2 linked regions of the Sus scrofa genome follow. The protein of the gene in region 1 interacts with the protein of each later gene in a biochemical or structural test. Links are inferred from orthologs where the notes say so. Each region holds a gene or a part of one and is shown in the gene's direction. Other genes may lie near its edges.

The links.
Region 2: of the proteins of MTOR (region 1) and EIF4EBP1, one has a biochemical effect on the other in vitro, tested with the Homo sapiens proteins (29 studies listed by BioGRID and IntAct, with this or other methods). The link is inferred for Sus scrofa from reciprocal best matches to the Homo sapiens genes MTOR and EIF4EBP1.

The regions. Positions count from the first base shown.
Region 1 is NC_010448.4:71,408,345-71,415,469, reverse strand, and holds the start of MTOR (serine/threonine-protein kinase mTOR), read left to right. Parts: upstream 1-2,556; 5' UTR 2,557-2,689; intron 2,690-4,953; 5' UTR 4,954-4,967; coding exon 4,968-5,129; intron 5,130-6,069; coding exon 6,070-6,178; intron 6,179-6,898; coding exon 6,899-7,125. UniProt on the Homo sapiens protein: Serine/threonine protein kinase which is a central regulator of cellular metabolism, growth and survival in response to hormones, growth factors, nutrients, energy and stress signals.
Region 2 is NC_010457.5:48,439,448-48,446,753, reverse strand, and holds the start of EIF4EBP1 (eukaryotic translation initiation factor 4E-binding protein 1), read left to right. Parts: upstream 1-3,380; 5' UTR 3,381-3,416; coding exon 3,417-3,561; intron 3,562-7,306. UniProt on the Homo sapiens protein: Repressor of translation initiation that regulates EIF4E activity by preventing its assembly into the eIF4F complex: hypophosphorylated form competes with EIF4G1/EIF4G3 and strongly binds to EIF4E, leading to repress translation.

The DNA.
Region 1 (7,125 bases):
ATAAGCAGTGAAGGGGCAGGAAAGGAGCAAGACTTTTCATGATAAATGTAATTTTTATTTGTTTTGAGATTTGAACAGTGAATGCATTACATATTCAAACATGTTTAATGATTAAATATAAAGATGTTGAACATAAGTGAAAAATGTGAAATTCAGAGGAACAATTATTTCACAGAAGAATCAATGTAATGAAAAAATTCTAAACCTAAAGCCATAATCACCTCCCCCCCCCCCCGGGATGGAACCTATACTTCCACAGAGACCCTAGCCACTGCAGTTGGATTCTTAATCACTACACCACAGCAGGAACTCCAATCATAACTTTTTTTTCCTTTTAAATCTGCCAAAGCATTTTGTTAGCCACAGAGTATTACCAAACCTCATTTAGATTTAAGACTCCTGGAAACTTACACTTCATCAACTATTTTTTTTCTTAAACCACACAAGTAGGGTGCTATGTATAAAGTTAGTGTATGTATAGTGTATTAAAAAAGGAGTTCCCATCGTGGCTCAGTGGAAATGAATCTGACTTGAATCCATGAAGATGCCTTGCTCAGTGGGTTAGGGATCCTGAGTTTCAGGAGCTGTGATGTAGGTCGCAGATGCAGCTCAGATATGGCGTTGCTGTAGCTGTAGCATAGGCCAGTGGCTACAGCTCTGATTCACCCCCTAGCCTGGGAAACTTCATATGCCATGTGGCCCTAAAAAGATTAAAAAAGAAAGAAAGAGAGAGAGAGGGAGGGAGGGAGGGAGGGAGGGAGCGAGAAAGAGAGAGAGAAAGAAAAAAGCATGCCTTTCCCAAATCCCATTACCTCTTAGCGGTATATTTTCCCTTTGTGAACATAGACACATAAGAAATATACAACTTGGAGTTCCCGTCGTGGCGCAGTGGTTAACGAATCCGACTAAGAACCATGAGGTTGCGGGTTCGGTCCCTGCCCTTGCTCAGTGGGTTAACGATCCAGCGTTGCCGTGAGCTGTGGTGTAGGTTGCAGAAGCGGCTCGGATCCCGAGTTGCGGTGGCTCTGGCGTAGGCCAGTGGCTACAGCTCCAATTTAACCCCTAGCCTGGGAACCTCCATATGCCTCGGGAGCGGCCCAAGAAATAGCAACAACAACAAAACAACAACAAAAAAGACAAAAGACAAAAAAAAAAAAAAAAAAAGAAATATACAACTTGTAAAAGGTTATATTAGACTTAAATTTTATAACCTGAATTTTTTTTAGCAGACTGTGAACCCTTTACTTTTTTAGCAAATATTCATCTAGATTGTGATTATTAATGCCTATGTGAGGTTTCGGTAATAGGAATGCATATTTTATTTAATCGGATTCCTATTATAAGATACAGGAATTTTTAAAGTTTATTGCAATAGACCATGCTTTAAAAAAAAAAAAATGAGATGTCAAATTTATTTTTGCTATTTTTTTTTTGTTTTGTTTTGTTTTTTTGCTTTGAAGGACCACATATGGAGGTTCCCAGTCTAGGGGTTAAGCAGAGCTACAGCGCCAGCCTATGCCACAGCCACACCAGATCCGAGCCATGTCTGGAACCTACACCACAGCTCACGGCAATGCCAGATCCTTAACCCACCGAGCGAGGCCAGGGATCGAACCCGCAACCTCATGGTTCCCAGACGTATTCGTTTCCATTGCAGCCACAAGGGGAACTCCTGCTATTGATTTTAGAAAGCTTTTTTTTTTTTTTTTTTTTTTTTTTTTTTTTTTTGTCTTTTTGCCATTTCTTGGGCCACTCCCCAGGCTAGGGGTCCAATCGGAGCTGTAGCCACCGGCCTACGCCAGAGCCACAGCAACGCGGGATCCGAGCCGCGTGTGTGGCCTACACCACAGCTCATGGCAACGACGGATCGTTAACCCACTGAGCAAGGGCAGGGATCGAACCCGCAACCTCATGGTTCCTAGTAGGATTCGTTAACCACTGCGCCACGACGGGAACTCCTAGAAAGCATGTTTTTAAAATGATCCTGCTTTGAAATTATTTATGAGTAACCCATTTAGCTAAAACTTGTCTATGGTTTCTTGCGAAAGATCTTACGACCTAGGTAATTTTGGAAAAGTGGGGAAATCCAAAAGCGCTTTCAAATGCGTATTTAACAAAAGAGAAATCACGAGTGCACAAGAAATGCTAGTCAGAAACTTCCACGTCTTTTACTCTAGTAACTATAGTGCGCAGGCATCGCTAAACTTTGATCTTGAAGATTAAACGCGGCGGGTTCTCGAGCCACGGTCTACTGCCTCGTGGTCCCAATCCCGCGGTACCCAGGCGGCGGACTCGGCGTGGCCACAGCCCAGGTGCTGAGGGGAAATATACTAGCGATGCACCGGATGTGTGCGTGGAAGTGACTGAAGTCAACTCACCAGCGATTGGTTTTTTCGAGAGGATCTAAGCTTTATTTCGCCTGCCACTGGCCACAGGGTTTGTCTATTTGAATAGTCTCCGCCCCGCGGAGAAGCCGGGTCCTGAAGCTTCACTTCTCCTTCATTACTATTGGTCTCCATTCCAGTCCATCTTCTTCTTGCGCCCATCGATTGGTCCTTTGTGTTGGGAGACTGCCCTCCCTCCCGCCCGGCTTAGAGGACAGCGGGGAAGGCGGGTGGTGGGGCTGGGGGCCTGAAGCAGTGGAACCGGCGCTGGTGGCGGCAGCTGAGCCCTCGGCCGAAGCCGCGCGGTGAGTCTGGGGCCTGGCACCGACCCCTCCAAGGCGGTGGAATGTCCAGACCCACGGCCAACCTGGTCCGTGGGGGGACCCCCAGGAAGTCGTGCGTTTGAGACGTGGGGTCCCCTCAGTACTGGCCCAAAGGACTTGGGCGCCGCCGGAGCCCTTGACCCCCGCGAGGCAACGCCCACCTCCTCCCGGATCCCCAGGAAACCCCCGGACCCTTTAGCTCACGCTATGTCTCTGGCGCCGTGAAGGCGGGCCCATGAGCTCCTGTATTGCTGGGGAGCATTTGGGTCGCCTTGCGCATCAGTCACCCCTATGAGCCACCTACCGATTGGCCTCCGAGAGGACCAGCGTCAGTGTCAGCCCCTTTAGCTCCACCGTGGAGACCTCTCAAGCACCCATTTCGCAGAGCTGAGCTGGGTTCCATCCCTGAGCTTCATCTCCTCTGCTTCCCCCGCCCCCATCCCTAGTTTCAGCCACCTGACGTTAACTTGTGTAAGCCCTCGCCAAGACCCTTAAGATAGATATTTCACTCCTAGTATTTTGACTTCTGCCTGGAGGCCTTAGACCTTATTAAGATATACTGGTTCCTTCCTTCGACTGGAAATTCTTTGCCAGCCTCCCTCCCCCTCGTCATAGACAAGCACCACACACTCTGTAGTAGTTTTCCCATTTGGAGCCCTTGGGTTTCCTCTCTCCTGAAGTTTGACACTTCCTTCTGCAGTCTTTGCACCCTTTCAGAACCAATTAGTCCCTGGTTTTTTTGTTTGTTTGTTTGTTTTTTCCTGCATTTCACAAATTCTTTCAAAAACAAGAATTTTGAAAATTTGATTTTCTAATATAATCAGGACATACCCTAGGATAGGTGTATATGTTACGGCCGTCGCAGTCTGGGCCGAGTTCTGTTATGGCCACTTTATTGTGGTTGCCGGATTGTCTGTACTTCCTCCTAGACTGTAAGCTTGCTGAGGGGAGGGGCAATACATAATTGTGGAACAAATGCCTGATCTCAGGAACTAATTAGTCTTTTTTTAGCTTACATTCCAAGTACTAGTCTTTATGGAACTGCGCTGTCCAATACAACAACCACAGGTGGCTTAGAGCACTTGAAAATGTTGAAATTGCTAAGTTGAAATTGCAGTAAGTGGAGTTTCCATTGGGGCGCAGCAGAAATGAATCCGACTAGTATCCATGAGGATGTAGGTTCGATCCCTGGCCTCACTCATTGGGTCAGGGATCCTATGTTGCCATGAGCTGTGGTGTAGGTGACACACACGGCTAGGATCCCATGTTGCTATGGCTGTGGTGTAGGCCGGTAGCCATAGTCTGATTTGACCCGAGCCTGGGAACTTTCATATGACGCAGGTGCAGCCCTAAAAAAAAAAAAAAGAAATTGCCGTAAGTGAATATATCAGTAATTTGGGGGGGAGGGAGGCAGTGGGCTGTGCCCACATCAAGCATCAGTTCCCGGGCCGGGGATCGAACGTGCGCTACAGCTGTGACAGTGCTGGATGTGTAACTGCTAGGCCACCAGGGAACACCTGTCATAACTTTTTATATTGTGACATGTTGAAATGATATTTGGATATATTGGAGTAAATAAAATAACTAATTTTGCCTGTATCTTTTGACCTTTGCTATGTGGTTACTAGGAACTTTAAAGTTACATTTGTAGCTCGTATTTCTGTCAGACCCGTGCTGCTATAGAATAACAATCAGTTTCCCTCTCTAAAGTGAATTTGAGGAGAGGGGCAGTCTTAGGCTTGCTTTGTTTTCTCTCACGCTCCCCATCTCTGCTACCTGGCTCTGTGCAACGTACAGAGTAGTAGTAATAATAATAATATTAACCCAGCAACTATTGCAAACTCACTGTGTGCCCAGCACTATGTTAAGCACTTTTTAACATGTATTAGCTCGTTTAATCTTCACATCAGTCCTCTGAGTTAGGTACTCTTATCCTCCGATTATAACTAAGATATTTGAAGTGTCTTCCTTGAGGTATATAATTTTGGACTGGATTCACACCCAGGTAGTCTGGCTGCACAGCCCATAGCATAATTTGACCTTCTCTGCTCTGCTGCCTCTTTCAACACCCGTGGTTATCAAATGAATTGAGGCTTTCTGCATGCTTTTCATTGGGGTCTCCCAGCCTTTTTAGGATCCCCAGCCTGATGTGGATGAGTGGAGGCCTGTGGGGGGAGGTGGGGCCATAGATTAGTTCACCGCCATGGTTTGTTATCCAGAATATTAAAGCCAGCTTCTCTCCAAAGAACCTCAGGGCAAAATGCTTGGAACCGGACCTGCCGCCGCCACCACAGCGACCACCACTTCCAGCAACGTGAGCGTCCTGCAGCAGTTTGCCAGTGGCCTGAAGAGCCGGAATGAGGAGACCAGGGCCAAAGCTGCCAAGGAACTCCAGCACTATGTCACCATGGAGCTCCGAGAGGTTGGAGCTGCTGCGGTTTGGGGCCCTTCATCATGGCCTTTTGGGGCTGCATGTGCCATTCCTGGTTTAGATGCCTCTTGACAGCTGATTGAGGGCTCAGAAAAGGCAAAGATTCTAGTTTAGAAAGGCACCCAATTTCTCAGGTCTGTAGAATGGGCAGGTTCCTTTGCCACAGTTCCACATTTCTGTGGCATTTCCTTTCTTGTGATAGTTTAGGAGTCAGAGTAGAATTGGCTGTTCCGGGAGTTCCTGTCATGGTGCAGCGGAAACGAATCCGACTAGGAACCATGAAGTTGCGGGTTCGATCCCTGGCCTCACTCAGTGGGTTAAGGAACCACGTTGCCATGAGCTGTGGTGTAGGTGGCAGACATGGCTCGGATCTGGCGTTGCTGTGGCTGTGGTGTAGGCAGCGGTTACAGCACTGGTTCAACCCCCAGCCTGGAAACTTCGTATGCCTCAGGTGTGGCCCTAAAAAGACAAAAAAAAAAAAAAAAAAAAAAAAGAAAGAAAGAAAGAAAGAAAGAAAAAGAATCGGCTGTTTCTTTTAATTTTTTTCTTTTTCATGCCACATTCCAGGCTTTTGAATCTTTCTGCCTGATAACATGGGTTGGGATGGGTTTGAAGAGTTGATTGCTTGGGGCTTTTCAAATAGAGGCCAGACCTGAGGTAGGGACAGTGTCTTTTTTGGCCTTGTACCCAGGCTACCAGGTAGAATCTAGGACAGGACATGGCCTCCCCTTGAGTAGATACACAGTAGGTATTGGTTAAGTAAACAGATGATTGCTCTACGGTTTAAAACAACAGAGATGGTCAGCGGCTGTGTCGTCTTCGGTTAACTGCACCTGCTGGCCACCTCTTGGGTTCTGGTCTTCGAAAGGCACCCCACGCCCCCACCAGCAGGGAACATTAGACATTGCCCTGAATACGTCTTCCTTTACAGATGAGTCAAGAGGAGTCTACTCGTTTCTATGATCAGCTGAACCATCACATTTTTGAACTGGTTTCCAGCTCAGATGCCAATGAGAGGAAAGGCGGCATCTTGGCCATAGGTAAGGACAGGGTCTCTGGCACAGTAAGAACTGGACATCCAGGACTGTGTCCTTTGTGTCCACTGCACTCCGTGTCTACTACTTACTGGATCCTCACTTCATATTTGTTTAATGAATTCTAAGGAGACTTGTGGCTTTCAGTTGCTTATTCGGCTATTAATTTTAACCACAGTCCTGGGCAAACCCAAGGGCAAAGAGGGTTTTTTTCAGACATGGAGCCTCAGAACCACTAAGCGACTTTTCCAGGGCTGGTGCGCCAGAGCTGAGGCTGGAAGTCAGCTTTCTTCCTGCTACCCTTGTTGCATTTTGCAGGCTCTTGTTTCTCTCTAGAGCCAAGTTTGGCAGAGCAGAGCTCAGAAATGGAAAAGTAGAGTTGAGGGGACTGTGAATAAAAGGCAGATAATTTCAGCTCATGGGGACTGGTTATCCATCCTGTGAATTATTATTCAGTCCTGGTTTGTTTTCCTTTTCTTCTTGGGAAACCTGTATATGCTAAAATATTAAGATGAGATCATTTTGCTTTATCTAAGTAGTTCTGGTCCAAACATTAAGTCTGTTTGTTAAAATGGAATGGAAATTATTTGCCTCCTCACCAGCTGGAAATTGCAGTCTGTGCTTAGAGTAGGAGGAAGGGGTCCCTCGCTAGCTTTCCTCTGAAGACAGTGGACCTCCGTGGACCGCACATGCCCGACTCATCCTCTGCCTTCCTCTCTTTGCCAGCCAGCCTCATAGGAGTGGAAGGCGGGAATGCCACCCGAATCGGAAGATTTGCCAACTATCTTCGGAACCTCCTCCCCTCCAATGACCCCGTTGTCATGGAAATGGCATCCAAGGCCATTGGTCGCCTCGCCATGGCAGGAGACACTTTTACTGCAGAGTATGTGGAGTTTGAGGTGAAGCGAGCCCTGGAGTGGCTGGGTGCTGACCGAAACGAGGGCCGGAGACAC
Region 2 (7,306 bases), on another chromosome or scaffold:
AAGTTATAGTACATGGAGGGGATAAACAATAAAATCCTGCTGTGTATTGCAGAGAACTATATTGAATGTCCTATGATAAACCGTAGTGGAAAAAAATATATATATATATATATTTTTTTTTTGTCATTTTAGGGCTGCACTGGAGGCATATGTTAGTTCCTAGGCTAGGGGTCAAATTGGAGCTGCAGCTGCTGGCCTACACCACAGCTCACGGCAACACTGGATCCTTAACCCACTGAGCAAGGCCAGGGATCAAACCCCATTCTCATGGATACTAGTTAGGTTCGTTACCACTGAGCCATGATGGGAACTCCAAGAATATATTTTTAAAAATAATGTATATATAACGTATAACTGAATCACCTTTTTGTACAGCAGAAATTAACACAACATTGTAAATCAACTATACTTCAATTTAAAAAATTTTTTTTAATTTTGTGAAAAGGTGAGCGTGTGAGTAAACCCACAGTCCCTGCCCTATAAGAGCTGATATTTAATTACAAGACTTGATGCGAATGCCTCCTGCTCTGTCCCTGCTCCATAACGAGGCGGAAATTGCCATAGGTGAAATGTCTGGCCAGGAAACAGAATTCAGGAGGGAGTCTGTCAAAGACCATACCCCTCGGCCCAGGCTAGTGATCCTCCTGTACCCATGAGGGGCCCCAGGTCTAGCCAGCCCCCACCTTTGGCTCCCCTGCAGCCTTCAGACTTGCTTTGCCTCTGTGCAGCCCTCCGTTCAGAGGTCATGGTGAATGTGAAGTGTTCTAAACTGCCCTTTCCCTAGAATTTCAGCTCTAACCAAACAATCAGGTCTGACAACAGAATAAATCTTTTCAAAACAGTCCTACCAAGGAGGTGTGGTGGATGGGCCACTTTGTTTCCTTATGTGGTGAAAAAAGGGCTGGCTAGGGAAGGAGGCAAGACTGGGTCCTAGTCCTATCTCAGGCATTTTCCAGCTGTGTGATCTTGGGCAAACCGCTGTTCCTCCTGGGCTTCTGGGGTTTTTTTGTTTTGTTTTGTTTTTCAGTAAGATGGAGGTAAGTATTGTCCTGGATGACCAGTAATGTACGTGGCCAGAGCCAAAATTGGATGATTCTACAGTCTATAAATTTCTTACAGTACTGCCGAAAAGGTAAAGAGAAGCAGATGAAATTAAATTTTAATGATAGATTTTACTTAACCCAATATACACAAAATATTACTTCATCGTATAATTGGTACAAAACAAGTTATTGAAATATTTTATGTTTTTTTCCACACTAAGTCTTTGAAATCTGGTATGTACTTTACACTTGTGATTGTGGACTAACTACACTCCAAGCGCTCAGTGGCCGTGGCTACCATGCCGGACAGCATAGGCCTACAATTTAGCTCAGGAATGACCAAATCTAACCGGTCTCTCTATCTCCAGCCTCACCCTCCAGTAGTCCATTCTCAAAATCTATGGCTAAGAGTTACCTCTCTTAAAGATAATCACCCCCCTGCTTAAAAGATCTCTCTCTGATAGCTACCGCCTTGGATGACCAAGTCTAAACACCCTGGCCTGATTTAAAAGCTTTTTCACAAGTCAGCTCTATTTCCCTTTTCTTTCTTTGTTTTAAGGGCCACAAGTTCCCAGGCTAGGGGTGGAATTGGAGCTGCAGCTGCTAGCCTACGCCATAGCCACAGCAATCTGGTGTCAGGGATTGAACCTGCATCCTCATGGATATTAGTCGGGTTCCTTACCGATGAGCCACAACAGGAACTCCTCTTTCTTTTTTCTTTTTCTTTTTTTTTTATTTTTACGGCTGCACTTCCTGGCATATAGAGGTTCCCAGGTTAGGGGTTGAATGGGAGCTACAGCCACTGTAATGCCAGATCCCAGTCGAGTCTGCGACCTACACCACAACTCATGGCAATGTCACATCCTTAACCCACTGAGCGAGCCCAGGGATAGAATTAACAACCTCATGGTTCCTCTTCAGATTCATTTCCCCTGTGCCACAAGGGGAGCTCGAGGGAACTCCGGACACTCCTCTTTCTTTCTTTCTTCTCTCTCTCTCCTTCCTTCCTCCTTCCCTCCCTCCTTCCTTTCTTCCTTCCTTCCTCCATCCTTTCTTTCTTTCCTGCCACCCAGCATGTGGAAGTTCCCAGGCAAGGGATGGAACCGGTACCACAACAGTGACCTGAGTCACTGCTACGGTGACAATGCCTGACCCTTAACCACTTCTGCCAAAAGGGAATTCCCTGGATTTCTCTTTTAAACTTTTCTCTCTCTACTCTTCCCGGATGTGGCCACCACAGGTTTTTTTGTCCTCCACTTGAATATTCCTTCGTTTGTTCCTGCGTTCATTTAAAGAGCTCCTGCCAGGGGAGTTCAAGTGAGTTCAGGCGAGTTCCCGTCGTGGCACAGTGGTTAACGAATCTGACTAGGAACCATGAGGTTGAGGGTTCGATCCCTGGCCTTGCTCAGTGGGTTAAGGATCCGGCGCTGCCGTGAGCTGTGGTGTAGGTTGTAGACGCAGCTCGGATCTCGCGTTGCTATGGCTGTGGTGTAGGCCGGTGGCTACAGCTCCGATTAGACCCCTAGCCTGGGAACCTCCATGTGCCGCGGGAGCGGCCCAAGAAAATGGCGAAAAGATTAAAAAAATAAATAATAAATAATAATAAAGAGCTCCTGCCAAACTTCGGGCAGCGTGGGGGTCAGGATCCACTGACCCAACTCAAAGGGCTGCAAATAACCTTCTTTGACCAATATTTCCCCACCACCACCGACGTCCACTCCCTCCCAGCCTCCTCGCTCCGGGTTTAGCCCTCATCACCCAGCTTGATGTTTTGTCCCCAGATCCTAATTCTACATTTCTTCCACGACTGCCACATCGTGAATGTTCAATAAATTGATGAATGACCAACCAATCCTCGCTTTCTCATCTGAGGAAATAGAGCACGGAACACGGAAGGCTTTCGGAGGCAGGGGACCTTCTCGCCTGATGTCCCAGTGTTGCAGCTAGCCTTTCCAGAGTGGGCTGGGTCCGCTGGGACCCCAGCGCAGTCCGAGCTAGAAAGGCATTAACACAGGCAAGCCTCGGAATCTTCCTTCCCATCCACCGGTTCCTGCCCGCGTGGCTCTCGGGGACCCGAAGGGATTAGCGGCGGGGCAGCTAGGAGGCGGAAAGGAATAGGGGAGCGGCGCTAGCAACTACGCTCAGGAGCCCGTCTGTGGGGTGCCCGGGACCCAGCGCGGAAGAGGACTCCTGTGCCCGCAGCCCCCGGGCGGTGGGCGGGGCGGCAGCGCAGCGGGAACTACAAATCCCAGGGGGTGGCAGCCCAGGCGGCGGAAGGGGCGGTCTCGGGCGGGGCGGGCCCGAGCGAGGCAGAGCGAGGCCAGAGGGGCGCCAGGGCCACGCTCTGGGTCCGGGCTCCTCGCGCGGGAGACCATGTCCAGCGGCAGCAGCTGCAGCCAGACCCCAAGCCGGGCAATCCCCACCACTCGCCGGGTGGTCCTCGGCGATGGCGTGCAGCTGCCGCCCGGGGACTACAGCACCACTCCCGGCGGCACGCTCTTCAGCACCACCCCAGGAGGTAGGCGCGGGCCCGGGGGCGCCGCTCGGGGTCTCTGGGTGCGGACGCTGGGAAGGACTGACTGGCCAGGGGGAGGGATAGGGAACTCCAGTTGGACGGGGCGACAGGGCTTCGGGGCGTGGTGACTGGAAAGAACGGATAAGGGGCACGAGGGTGGCTGTGAGGGGCACGGAGGTGGCCACCTGGAACGACAGGGGGGCGCGGGGGGCGCCTTCCATTGCCTGCCCTAGGGGTGCGTGCTCCAGAGCCGCGGCTGCAAATGCCACCTTATAGCTCCTTCTTTCTGGGAGAGACAGCTGATTCCCCCCGCCAAAAACAAGCGCTCGCTTCCAGGACTGCCATAGGCCGAGGTGTGCTGCCCCTTGTGGGTGTTGGGGGCTGTTCTGAGGCTGAATAGGGTGGGGTCAGGTTGGCCTCCCAACCACGGAGAGGGCTGGCCTGAGGTTTTTAGGGGTCGGGATGGGCGCTCTCTGTTGGGGTGAATGGCTCTTGGCAGAGACCGTTTTCCTTCCCGGGGCACCCCCAGCTTTGGAGCCTCGGCGGCTTCTGGAACAAATTGCCCTTTTAGGCTTGAGGATCTCCGCGAAGGAACCCGGGGCCGCGGGCAACGCTGTGCAGAAAAACACGTTCTTCTCTCCGGGGGGGAGGGGGGCCGTGTGACCTCCCAGAGAGTTGATGAGGAAGAGGAAGCTGAGCTGGCGCGGGGCGGGGGCAGCCTTGGGCTGCGCTCGGGAGCCTGGCATTCCCTGCCAGCTCCGGAGCCCTGGCGTATGGGCGCTGATGAAACCTGCCGGCGCGTTTGCATGATGAAATCCTCGTGGCTCACCACTTCTCTTTCGTTCTCGCACTGCGCTCACCCGTTTCTGCCCTTCTTCCCTCCCCTACACCCGCTTCCACCGCTGCTTCCCAAACTACTCGAAAAACTCCACCGATCCTGGCGCTTCGCTGAGAAACACGGGTGCGGGCGGCCGCGGGCGGAGCTGCAGCCTAGCCGCCTGCCAGCGTCGGGGCCACATGCTTATTTTCTCAAGCAGCTGTCCCACCACCAGCGAGCGCAGCCAGATCCGAGCCCTGGGCTGTTTGATCCAAAACACACAACGTTAGAACTTTTAAGGATCTTAGATGTTCTTGTGCAACCGAGCTGCCTTATAGGCCAGAACTGGCACCCAGGCCCCAATTTGGAAAAACGTGTCCACTGTCCCATGTCATACCATTTTCCCACATTGAACAAGAAATAGCAGCCAAGCATAGAGGGGAGAAATTCTGTCTCGTCTATTAAAAATGATTCAAGGACAAATGCCCAGCGATCCTATTTGCCACTCTTGACTCAAATTGTCTGTCCAAGCTAGACCTTATGTAGTCTGTGCTGTTCTGCTTTTTCTGTGTCTCTTGGGACCTATTTGGACAATTTGGGGGCTCCTTCAAGTGAGAGTGTGAACCCCTGCTTGATCTGTTCAGGGTGGGCACTCAGGCAGCCTGATGGCTCAGGTAGCCCTGTTTTGTACCTTTGTTGCTAGGTGGGGGTGGATCAAATTGGGACCAATAGCCAGGGGTGCTGTTTACAGGGAACTCCCACCCACTTCTCACTTTGGACTGGGGAATGGGAGTTGGGGGCAGACCTCAGCCACCCTCCCTCCTTTTGAAGATCTCTGGTTGAGAAAGAGGGAAAGGCGCTTCTGCATCGGTAGCTTCATTTTGGCAGCCAACTGGAAGGAAGCCAGCAGTGCCCGGAGCCTGAAGCCAGCTTTTTTCTTGTCTGAGATGTCCAGCTGGGGAGGCACAGCCCATAGTCCATAATCCGGAGAACCCAGGCTTGCCTCTGCCTCAGCCAAAGTGTGGGGTCTAACTCCAAAGCCCACTTCAGCCCACCCCTTTGCCCTGCCCATAGAGGAACTTGACCTCATGAAAAAAGGTCATTCCTACCCCGCTTCTGCTTCCATCTGGGGTGCTGTTTCTCAGTCTTCAATGTGCATGTGAATGACCTGGGGCCTCATTTCATAGCAGATTCTGATTCTTCAGTTGAGGGGGTAAGGCCTGAGATCCAGCATTTCTAACTAGCTCCCAGCCATTGGTGTAAGTACCAAGCTCTGAGTACTCAGGAGTGAGTGACGAATATGACAACCCTCACCCTTTCAGACCTCTGGGGTTTGACACAAAGTGATGCTTCTATTCAGGTAAATTCTTGAGGTTGGACTTAGCATTCTTCTTTACAGAAGGGTCTGCAGATCCAGGTTTTTGACAGAGGGTGGGGGTGTGTCAAGAGCTTTTTGGAGGAGTTCCTTGGTGGCTCAGCATGTTAAGGATCCAGCATTGTCACTGCTGTGGCTCAGGTCACTGCTGTGGCTTGGCTTCAATCCCTAGCCCGGAAACTTCTGCAAAGAAAAGGCCAAAAAAAAAGCTTTTGGAGTGAGTGTCCACTGGTCACTCTTGCTAGAAAGGGCACTGCAGTGTTTGTCCCTAGAGGAAAAGGAGAGCAAATTATTTGAACCATCTCCATTCCTCTGAGTTCAGTTTGCTTTTCATGGTCATTTACCCTCCCTAGGCTGAGCCCCTGATCTGAAGTTAGGTGGTCTGGAGAACTTGAGAGAAAGTGACCTAAGGGAGTGTCACAGGTGAATATTTGAGTCTGTGGGGTCTTAAAAATCTCCAGTAACACCATAAACCAGCAGAACCTTTGAGTGGGTCAGAAATTTTCCTCCACCCTTCCCCCACCAACTACCATGTTCCCAGTCTCTTACTGGGCATTCGACCCCAAGGCTACCGGGGTTGTTGTTTGGGTCATACCTAAGCCCCGTACCTGGCTAAGGTTAATCAGAGGTAAGCAGGTAGGATTACAGGTGTCCCTAGCACCCTGTTCAGTTAGACAAATAGAGCCTGTGCCCAGGAAGCTTACCTGAGGCAGCTCCCAGGTCTGGCTGCTGTACAGACAGTGCCGGGAAGAGGGGGAGGTGGACTGGGCACTGAAGCCAGCATCCCTGTGCCTTAGTCACATTGTCTCTATGTTATAGGTTAACATAACTTGACATGAAGGCAGTGAGGGAAGTATAATGGGCCTTTTTCTATATTGACCTGAGCTTCCTTTTAAAGTGTTTAGAACATTCCACACTGTGTGCCTTAAGGGCTTTGGCCGGACTCTGATGTAGAGCATCCCAAACCCCGCTGATGCCCATGAGCCTCCCTCGGGTTTTTGGGGGGTTTTTTTGTTTTTGCTTTTGGCGGTTGCTGTTGTTTTGGCTGCAAAACTTGGCAGGTAAAATTTCATGGGCCTTGGAGTTCCTGTTGTGACTCAGTAGGTTAAAAACCCAATATAGTGTCTGTGAGGATGTGGGTTCAATCCCTGGCCTTGCTCAATGGGTCAAGGATCCAGTGTTGCTGCGGCTGTGGTGTAGGCTGGGTCCGATTCAGCTTCTAGCCTGGGAACCTCCACATGCCATATGTGCAGCTGTAAAAAGAAAAATAAGTAAAAAATTTAAACATGTTTTAAGAATTAAAAAGTGGGGGAGAATCCCACAACAGTATGTATTTAAGAAAAAAAAAAAGTTCCCGGGCTGGGGACTGAACCCAAGCCACAGCAGTGACAACACCGGATCCTTAGCAACTAGGCCACCAGAGAACTCCCAAGCCTCCCTGTTTTTAAAGGCTTTTTTGGCAGTCTGTCCTCGAGGGCTTGGGTTGCAAGTGAGAAAGATGAAGACACCTGAAATAGAACGATAAACCTCAGAGTTGTATCTGTAGACCAAAGCAA